Linked DNA regions of Notamacropus eugenii. The protein of the gene in region 1 purifies or fractionates together with the protein of each later gene. This does not show direct contact. Links are inferred from orthologs where the notes say so. Each region holds a gene or a part of one and is shown in the gene's direction. Other genes may lie near its edges.

Region 1 (7,796 bases):
ACTAATAATTATCATTATCTGGAAGGCATTTTTTTTTTTAACATTTCAAGGTATTTTTAAAAATCCAGAATCCAAAAAGTTTAAGTTTGGGAAAGGTGGGGGTTCATTTCAATTTTGATATTTCCCATAGAACAGCAGGTTTAAATTCATTGTATAAACTTCCAAATATGACAGGTTAAATTAAATTAAAATTAAAACAATGAAGTGGGTGGTCAATAGCTATTCAACATACATACACAGCTGCATCATTTCATTTTGTCCAAAGAGAGGTGTATAAGACCACAATGCAACAATCAATTGTGTTAGCAGTCATCACTTAGAAAGAACATAATGAGACAGAATAAAGTCCTGGCCACACATGGTCTGATATGTCTTGCGTTCAAAACCCTCCAGGACATGGTTCTAGCCTAACATTATAAACTTGTGCCACATCTTTCTCCTTGATATATAATATGTTGCAGACAGACTGAGCTAGTTGTTCCCCAAAAGCAACTTGTTGTCTCCTACATACACCCTCCTCTCCAATCATTTCCTATACAACCTCCTCTATAACCACCTTGTTAGCCATCATCACAGACTATGTCTTAGAGGAACTTCCATCCTGGGGTCTGCCTCTCCTGGAGCATTGTTACAAGGAAGCCCCATACGTGCTTTTATTTCATTCTCTTCTCTCAGACCAACTACTTTGAAATTTCTTTGCCACCCACATTAGAGACCCCTTCCTTCTCCCTCCCCCATTCTCTCACTTCTAGCTCCGGAACCATGAGCCATAATCAAATCAACTTTGCTATTATTCCGGGATAGGATATGTCAATTGACGTTTCTACATAGCCATTTACCATCCCTGTAACTTTCTGGAACAAAGTGCCTATTTTTGGCCACCACTCACCTATGTGATTCAGACTCCCTGACACGCAGCTCAGTTTTCTTTGCTATGCTGTGCTATGATTGTTTTGCTGGGAAACTTACAGATTCTTGGAAACCGGTTAACCACAAAACTGCTTTCTGGAAAAGAGTCTAGGTTGTTCGTTTGCTATTCAAGAAGTAAGTAATAACTTTGTATGTAAGAACACTGTTTTTACAAACCCATATCTTCTTCAAATTTTCCCCATTTCTGTTGAGGGTACCACCATCTTTACAATCAATCAGGTTTCTGCCTCAGAGTCATCCTTGCCTCAGCTATTGATTAGAGCTCTGGAAAATCATTTCTATCCACCTTTTCCTCTCCACTTACACAGCCAATATCCCAGTTCAAGTGTTCATCACTTCTTATTTTATGCTACAGTAGCCTCTAACAGGTCTCCCTCCTTTAATCTCTCCCTTCTTCAATTCATTTTCCACAGAGCTGCCAAAATAATCTTCCTTAATCAAAGTCTAACCATGTCAGTAGCCTAATCATAAGTGGACTCTAGTGGACTATTGACACTAAAATCAAATCCAAACTCACCATTTGGACATTTAAAATCCTTCATAACCAGGCTCCCATTTACTTCCAGTTTTACTTCAAATTACTTCATCCCTTTCCTGAATTCTATATTTCAGTCAGTCTGGCCTATTATCTGTTCCCTCTCAACTTGTGGTTCTCTCTCCTCTTGGTGCCTTTGCAGACTGTACCCCATGCCAGCACTGAACCCCTTCGTCATGTATACTTGTATAGAATCATTAGCTTTCATCAAGGCTCAGCAGTGGTTACATTTTATATAAGGGCTTACCTTGAGTCTTCCAACATTCAATGCTATGTCTCCTGAAATTACTTTTCATGTACTCATTTGTGTACATATTCTATCTGCCCAGCAGTAGAAAGTCAAGAAAACTTTCATTTTTTTCTTTGAAACTCCAAAGCCAAGTATAGTCCCTCACACATAATAGGTATTTAATAAATGTTTGTTGAATTGACATTAATCCATAGGTTCAAGTCAGGTCCCACAAGCTAAATAGAATGAAGGCAGGGTGTTGTTTTGTGTCTTTTGTTTACTAATGACCTCATGGGGTAATGTCTGTGGGTGAATTGGATTTAAGTAAGGCAGAGCTGCACAAAGTCATCAGATGCTTCTCTCTTCCAGTCATTAAAGTCCAGTGAGTAGACAAAGTCTCGACGATGGCTGATGGCTTGGGATACAGTGGATGACTTTGGCATTTGCAATGCCTGACCAAGCTCTAAGCACATCGCAGCACCTCCTTCAGCTGCCCTCACCTTCCATTGCATTGGAAAGTCTTCATTTGGAATACTTGGGATAAACATCCCCTTAAATTCACTGATGGGTTTGAAGCTTCTTGGTTCCCCTCCACCCGGTTTAACCCATCCTCTGAGATGGTTTTACCAGAGTGTGATCACTGCCCATGCTACAGCTCCTTAGAGCCACAGGTGAGAGCTGGGTGGCAGATGGACACCAAAGGTGGATGAGCAGCCCTGAAAAGGGCTCAGGAAGCCCTCATACTGGAGGTATTAGTCCTCCTTGAACACTTCATATACCCCAGGCAGGATATTAAATAACTGGTATATACAGTGACCAGTGTTCCTGCCTCCTAAAAGAGCTTTCGCTACAATAAGGTCTTCAGATCTACGGACAGAACCTTAGGCAGAAAAGGTCAGATTCCATGTTCCTCTGCATATCTGCACATCTAGGTCAAGTAAGAGCAATTTTTCATGCTCTTTTCACTAGTGCCTCTCCCATTCTCCTCACTATCAATCCCTGACCTTTGAAATTTCTATATTGAGCTCATTGTTCTTCCCAACCTCTTATGTTGCTTCCCAACCTCCAACTGTGATGTGGCAGTAAGAAATATAGCATAGTGGAAAGAAACCCCTGGATTTGGGGTGAGAAGCCCTGGGATTGAATCGCAGCTCTGTGTCTACTCCCTGTGTGACCTTAGACAAGTCTCCTTGACTTAGTTTTCCCTTATTCATTAAGTGAGGGGATAATATCCAAAGTCCTTTCTAATCCAAAATTCTATGACCTAATTGGCATTTTAGAAATTCACAAAGATCTTGTAAATGGGTTAATCTTTTTTTTTGTATGAATCATGAACTTCTTGGCAGTTTAGTGAAGCCTTCAAGACCTCTTCTCAGAATAGTGTTTTTAAATCCATAAAATACATGAGTCATCAGAAAACCAATTATATTAAAATCCAATTTTCAAAATATTAATAAAAACAATTCTACCCTTAGGTTATTAATCTCAGGTGAAGAAGCCTTTCTCTAGTAGAATATTACAAGGATTCTCAGTAGTCAAAATAGATTTGATTCTAAGTGTAATCAGGTTAAGCCCTAGTTGCAGTGTAGCAGGGTAGTGGACAACTTTAATAAAATAAATAAAACCTCCTCTGAGTCACAGGGAAATGTCTCTGCAACTCCTATTCAACAATTTAACAGATATTTACTAAGCGCAGACTCTGTGCAAGCCATAAGGTAGGTGCTTTCCTTGGAAGCTTCCTGTGGTCCTGAGAAAGAAAATTTTCCAGCCTCCTGCAGGGTTGTTGGAATTTACCACTGGCCTGATAATAGAACCCAGCTTTTCTTACCGTGGGCAGTGGAAGAGATTAAGAGATAGTCTCAATGAAAATGAATCCATTAATAACAGTTTATATTTTTATAGCTCTGCACAGTTACATAGTGCAACACTATTTCATTCGGGTTTTCCTTTCTTACTCCCCCTCCTCCATGAAACGGGGAAAATCAGATTAGCTCTGCCTGGCTAGGGTCCCCAGTAGCAAACAAGAGGACAAAGAGCTGGGAGACCACAGGTGTGACCTACAGCCAACCTTTATCAAGAAGCTACAGGGGGCTTTCCCTCCTCCTAACCCTAGACCAGAACTCCTCAGGGCTTCACTCCACAGAATGAAACTCTTATGGGGTTGTCTCCTAAATGGTATCAGGATTTTCCTTCATCCTGGAAAGGCTTCACTTATGAACATTTGCCCTACAAAGAAGCTTACACAGTCACTTCACGCTTATTCCAAGGACTGAGCTGCTTCCTTTACAATCCCTTTTCAGCCTGTACTAATGTTTGTAAAAGAGTATGTTAAAATTCAACTCAGACTTTGCTCTACCAAATATATATTTATACACATATACATATATATATGCCTATATACGTATACAAGCAAATCTATATAATAAGTATATGGGGCACCTATATGGTTACAGAAGTCAGTAAGATCTGAATTCAAATCTGGCCACAGATACTGTGACCCTGGACAAGTTACTCAACCCTATTTGCCTTAGTTCCTCATCTATAAAATGTGAACACATTAGAGAAGGAAATGGTAAAAATGACTCCAGTATCTTTGCCAAGAAAATTCCATAGACAAAGCCTGTAGGGTCAAGCGGAGTCGCACAGAACTGAGAAACTACAATATATGTATATATATCATATACAACATTCATATATCTCATATATATTATGTATATGTGTGTGTGCCTCTTCAAAAGTTTTTGAGAGCAAAGTGCTCCATTCAAAGCCTTTAGAAGGAGTTGCTTTAACCCGAATAGCTGAGGGGGTGGTTCTCTTTATTTCGGTTATTTTGGTTATTTTGTAGGTTAGCTTCTATTAACAAAGAGGAAATTCGTGGTGACACCTACTCAGGAAGTAACCCGGTATCCAGGGATTCTATTTCCCACTTGTTTGTTCCCGGAGGCACGCACTTGCTGCAGTTAGTAGACAGTCCGCCTCATACTGCAATAACACACTACAAAGGATTTTTCTCAAACCTCGGGAGTCTGGCCTTGAAATGGATTCTAAGCAGTTCCCCTAGAGGGCGCACGGCATACAGGTTTTCAGCAGGCAAGGAGACTCCGCACTCTCCCAGGCTCCATAAAAGGGGAGGAGGCGGATCAGTTTCTTTCTCTCATTGAGAAAGAACAGGATTGGAAGACGCAGCATATAAAGCCAAGCAGAAAGCGTGAAACAAAGCATTCAGATCGGAATTGGACTGGAGAGGCGAGGTTTGGAATCCGGGATATAAAACTTGTTTCAAGGGGAGGAACCCAACCTTTTCCACTCCACAACGCCTGTGCGCTTACAGGGGTTCTGGCTACCCTCTTCATTTATAATTTTTTAAATATTTTTTTAACAAAGATTTTTATACATTTTTTTCTCTTAAAAGAAGATTTCTTTTCCAAGAGAAAATAAGGCAAGATCAATGAAGGAGAGAAGAGCCAGCCAGAAATTAAACAGTAAATCTATGATGGATCCTAATCAGAACGTAAAATGCAAAATAGTGGTAGTTGGAGACAGCCAGTGTGGGAAAACGGCGCTGCTTCATGTGTTTGCTAAGGACTGCTTTCCCGAGGTACGTCCAGCTTTCCTTGCCACTGACCAAGTGGGATTCAAAGCCGCTAGAGACCAGTGGGTTTTTTTTTTTAATTTAATTGTTTTAGTGTTCTAACCTCCTTAGCCTCCCGTCTCCTTCACCCTTCCTTGTAAGATCCCTTTAAAGGGGAAAGGAATAAGGAAGAAGGCACTGGGGCTTGAAAAAGCCTGACCATTAATCTCCTTGCATTTAAAACTTGTCTTTCATCTGGAGAGAAGATGTTAGGGTTAGGCTGGTGTGAGATCGCAGTGATTTTGATGGTGGGGGCGGAGGGTCGGTCTTAGGGTTTGGGGGAGGTAGGGGATGAGAGGGAGAGATTTGGTTCCTCGTGTCTGGTGTCTGTTGGGTTGCGTGCTTTCATTTCTAAAGGGGCAGGGGGATTTTGTTGGTGCCATACCTTTTAAGATAACCTTGGTTTTTGTTGTTTCTCCCCCCTTCTTGGTCTGTTTCCCTTGTTTCCTCCGTGTATTCCTTCAGAATTACGTTCCTACAGTATTTGAAAATTACACGGCCAGTTTTGAAATTGACACACAAAGGATAGAGCTGAGCCTGTGGGACACTTCGGGTAAGAAAAGAAACCTGTGTTCACACCGGGGTTTGTCTCCTTCTCTCGGGGATTGGGGTGCTGGGGGTAGGGAGTGCTGGGTTTGAGATAGGGTAACTTCTGTGCCCTAGGCTAGAGCCGGGCCAGTGCGGTGGACCCCTGAGGTCAGCGCGCCCTCTGGCATTCCCCCTCACCCCTCCTCCGCAAGCCACAGTGCCTCCTTTAAGTTTTTCCTCCTCGAGTAATCCCCGCGTTCCGGTCGAGATGAATTCAATTCAGCAACAAATGCCTATTATTTCTTTGTGGGGAGGAAGATGCGGGGGGGATGGAGGGGAGGAAGAACCGAGACCTAAGAGCGAGCGCAGAAAACAGAAAATGGAAAGGAATGATTACGGGCTTTTAACTATCCATGAAGTGTAAGCCAGGCACTCTCGGACCCGCACATAGAAATGGGCTAAGGTCTAACGCTTGGTGATCCAGGCAGGGGCGCTTCTGCTGAGGTCGTTGTCCCTTTCCCCCACGCTCCTAAGGGTGGGTGTTGGGGGGAGGCGGGGGCGGTCGTCCTTGAACCTGGAGGGAGAGACAGCAGCGAGGTCCCCTCTGCACTATACCTAGTTATGAACCTGGGAACACCTTCTCTGTGCAACTTGATGGCTTTCTAGGAGGGTGAAAGGGAAGGGGGGGGTGGCTGTGGGAGGAGGAGGAAAATCCCCAAATAGGCGCGGTTAAGTGCGGAATCCTAACCTACCAGAAAGTAACATGAGCGCAGGCAATCTCTGGTATTCGTGACGATGACAGGAAAGTATGTGCAGGCGGTTGTACAACAGCGAGGTGCCCGGAACGGAGTCGTGGGGGGAGGGAGAGAAAACTCCGAGCTGGAGGGTTTCCCTCCTTGTAGGGGCTGCTTTGCAACATGGAATAAGGTGTAGAGCATGTCCCTCTGAACCCTAGACTGGGAAATGATACATAGTGATACAGTAATTCCTGCCAGGGCTGGGTGTGTTACCTTTACGTTCTGTTTGAATTACTGGGGTGATTCTTTTTAAAGGGGATAGTTGAGTTCAGAACCGGGCTGCTGCCTTCTCACCCCCACCCCCTTGCCATGGCTTTTAAAGTAGAGGGGTAACTATCCAAGCTTTGGGGGGCAGTTCGAGAATGAGGAGAAGCAAAAAGGATGGAAAGGACTTGGATGTTAGGGGGAGGTGTCTAATGTGTCCTTGGTGGGGGCAGTGCGGAGGTGGGGGCTGATCGGTGGCGATCTGGAGGCGGCTTAGTCTGAGACCTGTCCACTGCCACCCTACCGAGAGTTAAGGTCTCCCAGTCCCTTTGCGGAGAGAACCTTCCCCGCGCTCCTGAGGCTGGACTCGGGGTTTAAAAGAAAGCAGCGGACGCTTTGAGATGGGGAGCACCGATCTAAGTGGGATTTGGGAGGACGGGAAAGAAACGAAGCTGCCACGAGGGTCGGGCTGGGTGGGAAGCTGAAGTGAAGACTTAACTAAGAGACCAGGGCGGGCTTGTCGGATCTGCCCCTGAGGGATATTTGTCGGTGCCGCCCAGAGGAGTAGGCGGAGGAGACGGCTTCTTTCGGCTGGTAGCGGTCTAGCTCTGGCCGTGTGGTCAGCCCTGATCCTCGGTGTGAACCTGAATAGTGAGGGCAAGAAAGGGCCAGAGAAAGGGGCCAGCCGAGGCTCCCTGCAGTGATAAAGCCCGCGCATGCACAGTGGGGGACAGGAGGCGCAGTCTAGTCCCCTTCCCCTAAAAGCCTCTCTCAGCTGCAGTCCGGGCCAGACTCCGCTGTTGCTACAATCAATCCAGCCCAGATGGGCAGCTTTTCATTTTCCACTTGGAGAGCCAGGCGCTTCCCAACGCCTCACCATGTGCTGAGGGGGGCGGCAGAAGGAGGGAGGGGCTGAGACCACACTGCCTTCTTTCTCCCTGG
Region 2 (7,082 bases), about 160 Mb from region 1:
GCTCTGTGCACATCATGTAATATCAGTTTCTTAATTTGCAAAGTGGAGGTAGTAACAGTATCTTCTTCACTGGGTTATTCTTGAGTGACAAATGAGATAAGGGACCTAGATCCTTCGGGAAGCCTTTAAGCACTGCGTAAGTGCTGGCAATTTTAGGTAGTGCCTGATGTCTGCTGGAGGAACAGGAAAGGGCGAAATGATAGGAGTGATGCCTGGGTATGGAGATCAGGGCAAAGTTCACTTACAGATCCTGTAGATTTAGGGCTGGACGAAACCCTGAAGGTCATCTGAGCCACCCTGATCTGAACGCATAGAAACTGAGACCTGGAAAAATTAACTGACTTGTCTGTGAAGGCACAGCTAAGAAACTGAGGCTTGAGCCTAAGTCATCATCCTCATCATCATCATGGCCAACATTTGGATAGTTCTTCCTATGTGCCAAGTGCTTTACAAATATCTTAATAATAATATCTAGCATTTACATAGTGCTTACTGTGTTCCAAGTGCCATGCCAGGTGCTTTACAAATGTCATCTCATTTAATAATAGCATTTACGTAGCCCTTACTGTATGCCAAGCACCATGCCAAGTGTATTCCAAATAGCATCTCATTTAATAATTATAATAGCTAGCATTTATATAGTGCTTCTTTGTGCCAAGCATCATGCTAAGTGCTTTCCTAATATCCTCTTGTTTAATAATATTATTAAATATTATAATTTTTATAAATATTTAATATAAATGTAATTTTTGTAATTCTCCCCATTTTATAGATAACGAAGAGGGTAAGTGAGTTCCTCAGGGTCACACAAGCTATTAAATATCTGAGGAAGAATTTGAATTCAAGTTTTCTTGGCTCCAAGTCCCAGACTGTATCCTAGCTAAGGTCATCCTTATTCCAAGTCCAGAGCTTTTTTTCTGCCAGACTAGAGCAGGACAGAGAGCACTGATCAAGGGTATACCATGCCTTGGAATACAGAGTCTCCAAACTGGAAGAGAAGTTGGGTTGGCCATCCACTCCAGCCCATATTGGTAAAGGAAGTGCTTTTACTGGGGGACATGGTAATCTAGTCTCCATGGTAGCCCTCCAGTGGAGGGTGAGGGGCCCTACCCCCGCAAGTCAGCCCCTTCTCTTTCTGACTAGTGGTAGTTATTTGGAAATTTTTTTCTTGACGTTAATTGCCTCTTGTGCTTTTCTATCGTTTGCTTTTAATTTCACCTCCAGGGCTGAGCAGAAGAAAACGAATCCTTCCACCCGATACCTCATATACTTGAAGGCAGCTTTGGGGTCCTCCGTTTGTCTTCCCTTCTCCAGCCTAAAACTCCTCCTAGGTCTCATGTGGCATGATCTTCAGACCCTTGACCATCTTGGTGGACCTTTGTGCAATGAGAAATGCATATTAATATGACTTTTAAAAATATTCTTATTTTGAAGTCTAGAAAATTCCATTCTCCATAGCATGTAGAGAGGCATCAGACAATACTTGGGTTGAAATCTCAGATTATAATCGTACTTCCTAGATGTGTGATCTTGGGCAAATCACTTCACTTTTCTGACTCAGTTTTCTCATCTGTAAAATGGGGATAATTCAACTTATGTACCTATTTCCAAACCCACAGGCATTCATTAAGCACTCACTACATGTTGGACACAGTGCTCAGAACCGGGATTGCAAAGACAAATATGCTGGTCCCTGCTCTCAAATAACTGACATTCTACTGGGGAAAGGAGATATAATACATACGTGTGTGTGTATGTGTTTGTGTGTGTACAGGTAAACGTAGGGACAGCTAGGTGGCACAATGGATAGAGTGCCTGAAGTTTGAACTCTTCCTGAGTTCAAATCTAACCTCAGGCACTTACTAGCTGTGTGACCCTGGGTAAGTCACTTCACCCTGTTTGCCTCAGTCTCCTCATCTGTAAAAAGAAATGGCAAACCACTACAGTATCTTTGCCAAGAAAATCCCAAATGAGGTCACAAAGAGTTGGATATGACTGAAAATGACTGAACAACAACAATCTATATATGATTTGACAGGCAGTGTACCACAGTGGGCAGAGACTTGTGGTCAGAACCAGGAAGACCTGAGTTCAAGTCTTGCCTCTTACACATACTGCCTTTTGTGATCCTTGACAAGTCACTTAAATCTTTGGTCACTCTCTAAGACTATTAGTTGCTTAAATGGTTCTGACTTGTCTTGGTAGAGGAACTTCCCTGATCTAGCAGTTTCCTATGTCAGTGAAAGCCCAGGTGCAGCCCCTATCCTATATACATCTGACACCTCCAGTTCAAAAGTCAGGCCAGCTGTATGTGAAGCCAGGTTAGTAGGGACAGGGGATATTTGTGGGAGTCTGAGGCTATGAAAAAGAGGGTCCTAGTCTGCCAAATCAGGTATCCTTGGGCATTCAAGTAAAGCCAGAAGAGAAGGTCTGTCATGGATTGGGGGCAATGACACAAGAGACACAGAGATAGTGGAAGGAGAGGGAGACAGATCGACAGAATGAAGAAGAAATGGCTCCTGGGTCATGGAATCATAGACCAATGACCTGAGGCTTCCCGGAGATTGGTGGAGTGTGGGTGGGAGTCAGCAGACAACAGACCAAAATAGTTTACCTGAGAGCCTTGCACCTAATCCCAGTGCTTTAATGGTCAGGGATTTCAGCTTTATCTCCCTTTTGGATAAGAGGATAAGGACTAAGGTGGAGACTGACCTAGGAGATCTCTGCTGGCACCCAACTGCATTCCTATTTCTCTTAAAAAAAAATACACACACACATATCTGTATATATATACATACACACACACAGAGATATATATATATATCTGGATATATACACATATATAATATATACGCATGTATATATTAATGATCTTAAGAAACCCCACAAACCTATCACTTGCCAGGGATTTTCCCACCTAAAGAACCCTCTGGTATAACAGAATATAATGAAGCAAACCAAAACAACAGGTTAGCTGAGTCGGATAACTAAATACCTCACTCTGCTCCTGTAGTCCACCACCTCTCTGGCCAGAGGTGCTAGGCTCAGGGTCCAAGTCCTCTGAAGTCCTGACTGTCCACTTCACTGGTTGATCAGACTTCTGGTGTCTTTAAATCTGATCGATTTTCCTTTATGTTACTATGTATAAATAACATCCTATAAATTGTTCATCCTATAAAGAGCTCACCTGGGTACTGTATCAAGTTATGCAAGTCTTCCCAAGTTTCTCTGAATTCTGCATATTTGTCATTGTTTGGAGTTGATAGCATCCCGTTCCACTCACATTCCATTCCATACCACAATTTATTCAACTACTTCTCCAACTGATTGGCACCAACTCTGCTACCATAAAAAGTGCTGCTATAAATATTTATATGTAGTTGTGTACTCCAGCCTCTTAGGGATGAGAGGAGACCCCAGAAAGCCGATTTCCTGCTGCCTCTTGGCGGCCGGTGACCTGGGACTCCTCACACTGCTCCTGCCCCCCCCCACCTCATTTCCATCTCCACCAACAGTTTGGCCACAGGTTAAGGGGAGGGACATTTTGTGAGAAGGAAGCTGATCATTCTGTAATATGGATGTTGATAAGGGCCGACCATACAGGGTCTTCAGCTTCCCAAGGAGACCGCCCCCATCTCCCCAGTAGCACCCTAGGGTTCAGCCTGGACATTTCTGCGGAGTGTGTGTGAGATTGGTAGCGCTCATAGGCTAATAATCCCACCCTCGATCTCCTTTTCCCCCTCCACTGAACGTGGGGGCCCAGCTCAAGGGGCAGACTCCGGCCTTGGCTGGGTGCCATTGGTGGCAGCTCTCGATCTGAGACCTGGGCTCCCATCCATCTTTGCACTGTTATTTTAAACTCCAGCTGCTCCCCTCGGGTGCCGCGTGGGGAGGAGGAGTTAACCTGGCGTCGCGAGCCTGTTTTCCCCCTCAACTCAGTGCCAGGGATAGGGTCAAAAGAAAAAAAAGCAGGGAGTGTTTTGGGAGCACACAGGGAGAGTTTCCAGGGCGCGGCCAGAGTGCGGTTAGAAAGGAGTTATTTATAGCCAGGGAGCGGAAATCTGGAGGGTCCGGGAGCAGGGTAGGGAGTGAACGAGGGAGCGAGTCGGAGCAACCGTCGGGGGCATTCTGTGGGCTCCCAGGGGTCCCGCAGGCTGCTGGAGAGCGGGGCGGAGACAGAGCCCTGCGCCCACCCACCTGCGCGCTCTCCAGCTGTGCAGCGCAGCCCTACTCAGCCTTGTGTTTGCGGTCCAAGCTCCCACCTGCCCCCTCCCCAGCGGCGATCCGGAGACAACTAGCTTCCAGCCTTAGTGAAAGGCATTCCTGGACCGCTCTCCAGCCCTCCCCTTTGCCCAAAGCATTTCCCTGAGTTTGAGGGAGGGTAGAGGGGAAGGGGGAGGAGTCACGCCCTAGAGGTTGTCCCAGTATTCATCCTCGAGCTTGAAGGCTGCTCCGCATCCCGCTGGCGACCGCCATATGTGGCTCTCTGCCTTCAGGACGCCCCTTCAGATGACAGCCTCAGCCCCAGTCCCTTCCCCACGCGGAAGAGCGCTGCAGAGCCGGCCGCAGGGGCTGCCTGCAACCCAAGGGGGCTGCCCGAGTCCTCTGGCCGGGATCCCCGAGGGCTGTGGAAGATCGCGCCCGTGCCCCTGCCCACTCCTTCCTTTCCTGGCTGCTGCCCCGCGAGGCCCGGGCCCAGCCTTGTTCTGTCCACGCCCTGCACCCTTAGTAAGTAGTACATTCCTCCTTCACTCCCATGCCCCGCAGGTGGTAGATCCCGACAGCGCTACCGTAATTACCGGGCTTGGCCTGGCGGCGAGGTGGCTCCCCCGGGGGAACCTGGCTCCTCCTCTTCCCCCTCTTCTCCTCCTCCCCATCCTGGGGCTGCCACAGTGCTGAGTCTCAGCTCCAGCCTAGGGCGACCAGCTGGCCCCTCTGATACCTAGGAGGGAGGCTGGGAGAGGCTCCCACCGTCACGCACATCGCTGAGCTTGAACCTTGGACTGGAAACTGGGGGTGAGTAAGGGGTGGAAGGGAGACGCCAGGTAAAAGAGGAGGAGGCGAGCCCGGGAGGGGAGCGTGGGAGGTGATCGACTGAAAACTGAAACGTCTCCGCACCCCGCCGCGCTTTTCCCTTGGAGTGCTAGAGGGGACGGCGTGGTCTTTACTGTTCTGGGGGCCTCGGGTTCCTAGTTAAGGTAGGGACCGTGGCGGTGGCCAGTGAAACGATTGACACTTACGCAGGCACTGGCCTGGGTATCAGTTTATCCCTCTTGTCAGTGGGCACAAAACTCATCTCCTCCAAACGAGGCTCCCAGAGGCGCTTCGGCTTCGCGGACACTGACTTTCCCTAGGGACCTTTCCTCTCTTTCGGCTGATAAGCTTTTTAGGGGTCTCAGCTCGGAGTTGCGGGCTGTTTTTTCTGGTCCAATAGTAACCCGAAGGTCCACGCAGAACCAGTAGGGGAAACCCGAGGAAGTCACTACTGGGAAAGGAGGGTGTATGGTCTCAAGAAGACCCCTCTGGGGCCGGTGAAAATCGAGAAAGATGAAGAAGCAGTGAAGAGGGGGTGGAAAGACCTCAGGTTTCATCCTCTGACCCAAGTCACAACCCCTAAGAGCTTCGGCTTCACCTGTTTTGTCATTGTGACCCGTCCACCAGAATCTCCAGTATTGACATAATGCTTTCCATAAGTTTTCTCATTTGATCCTCTCAACAACACGGGAGAGAGAGGTGCTATTTTTATCCCTATTTTACGTAAGGGGAAACTGAGGTTGAGATCGAATAAATAAGTAGCTCAGGGTCACCGAGCTGTTAAGTGGCTGAGGTCACATTTGAATTCAGTTCCTTCTCTAAGAACAGTATTCTCTCCATGATACTACCTAGCTGTCAGTCACCTTGCCAGTTTGGTCGGAGGACTTCAGTCTGCAAAACTGAGATACTTTATTTTTAATGCCTAAGCCACAGAGCTATTGTGAAGGAAGTAAACTTCAAATTAGACTTCAGGAGGAGTTTTTGTGCCTGTTACAGAGAGGAGGAAACTGAGATTCAGTCATGGACCAGTCACTTTCTTAAATGTGAGCTGTCACTATAGGGACCAGATCTGGAGGCAGGCAGTCCAATACAATCCAGTCTGGGGATTCAGAGACAAAAGTTGTACACTCTGTTCCTAAGGGATTTACATTCTTCTGGGGGTGTGGTGGATTATTTGACCCAGAACTGGAAAGGACCTTAAGGGTCATCTTGACCAACCCTCTCTCCTCCTTATTCTTCCTCCCTCCCTCCCTCCATCTCTTCCTTCCTTAATTTCCTTTTCTTTCTTTCTCCTTCCTTCCTTCCTTCCTTCCTTCCTTCCTTCCTTCCTTCCTTCCTTCCTTCCTTCCTTCCTTCCTTCCTTCCTTCCCCCACAAAAATTCAATGACTTGCCCCAGATCACATAGGTAGGAGGAAGCAGACGTGGTATTTGATATTCCCAGACTAGGTGCCATTGTCCAGCTTTTTGGTCGTGCCTTCTCCTATTGTACTTTACAAACGCACACAGCTTACTCCACAGGTTTCCAGCTAAATGTCCTCCTTCCTGAGAGATTCATTCCCTATTTTACTCCTACCCCAACCCTATCCCCAGGGGATTGCACAGCAAATCATACTTTCCCCCTGTAATCAGAGCTCCAGAGTTCAAATCCTACTTCTTCCCCTTGTTATGGGGTCTTGGGTAAGTCACTTAATCTCCTTGTGCCTCAGTTTCCTTTTCTGTAGAGTGCAGAAGTTGGACCACACAACCTTGGAGTCCCCTTCCAATTCCAGATTTTTGATGAAATAGCAATGACCCCATGTCTATGGCGCTTCTCCCTATGGGTCAGTGCCAGTATTATTAGACTCATGCCCAAGTTCTCTTGGGATAGTGAGCAGGAAAGCTGGAGTACACACCTGGGCTGCTCAAATGCAAATTGAGCCTCTTTTCTGCTCCCCTCTTTGTCTTCTTCCACCCTGGGTTGGACTTGAGCGATTAAAGTTGAAAAAGTCCAAGGGATCAGCCTTCCAGCACTTACCATGTGCTCTGTCCTTGGTTCTGTGCTAAGCAT

The links. Proteins that work in one complex are often made in the same cells at the same time.
Region 2: the proteins of RND3 (region 1) and PLEKHG5 purify together in Homo sapiens (affinity purification with western blotting; 3 studies listed by BioGRID and IntAct, with this or other methods). This does not show direct contact. The link is inferred for Notamacropus eugenii from reciprocal best matches to the Homo sapiens genes RND3 and PLEKHG5.

Annotation. Positions count from the first base shown.
Region 1 is NC_092876.1:207,409,765-207,417,560, reverse strand, and holds the start of RND3 (rho-related GTP-binding protein RhoE), read left to right. Parts: upstream 1-4,791; 5' UTR 4,792-5,142; coding exon 5,143-5,292; intron 5,293-5,790; coding exon 5,791-5,878; intron 5,879-7,796. UniProt on the Homo sapiens protein: Binds GTP but lacks intrinsic GTPase activity and is resistant to Rho-specific GTPase-activating proteins.
Region 2 is NC_092876.1:44,868,424-44,875,505, reverse strand, and holds the start of PLEKHG5 (pleckstrin homology domain-containing family G member 5), read left to right. Parts: upstream 1-4,073; 5' UTR 4,074-4,476; coding exon 4,477-4,728; intron 4,729-4,763; exon of another isoform or gene 4,764-5,016; intron 5,017-7,082. UniProt on the Homo sapiens protein: Functions as a guanine exchange factor (GEF) for RAB26 and thus regulates autophagy of synaptic vesicles in axon terminal of motoneurons. Involved in the control of neuronal cell differentiation.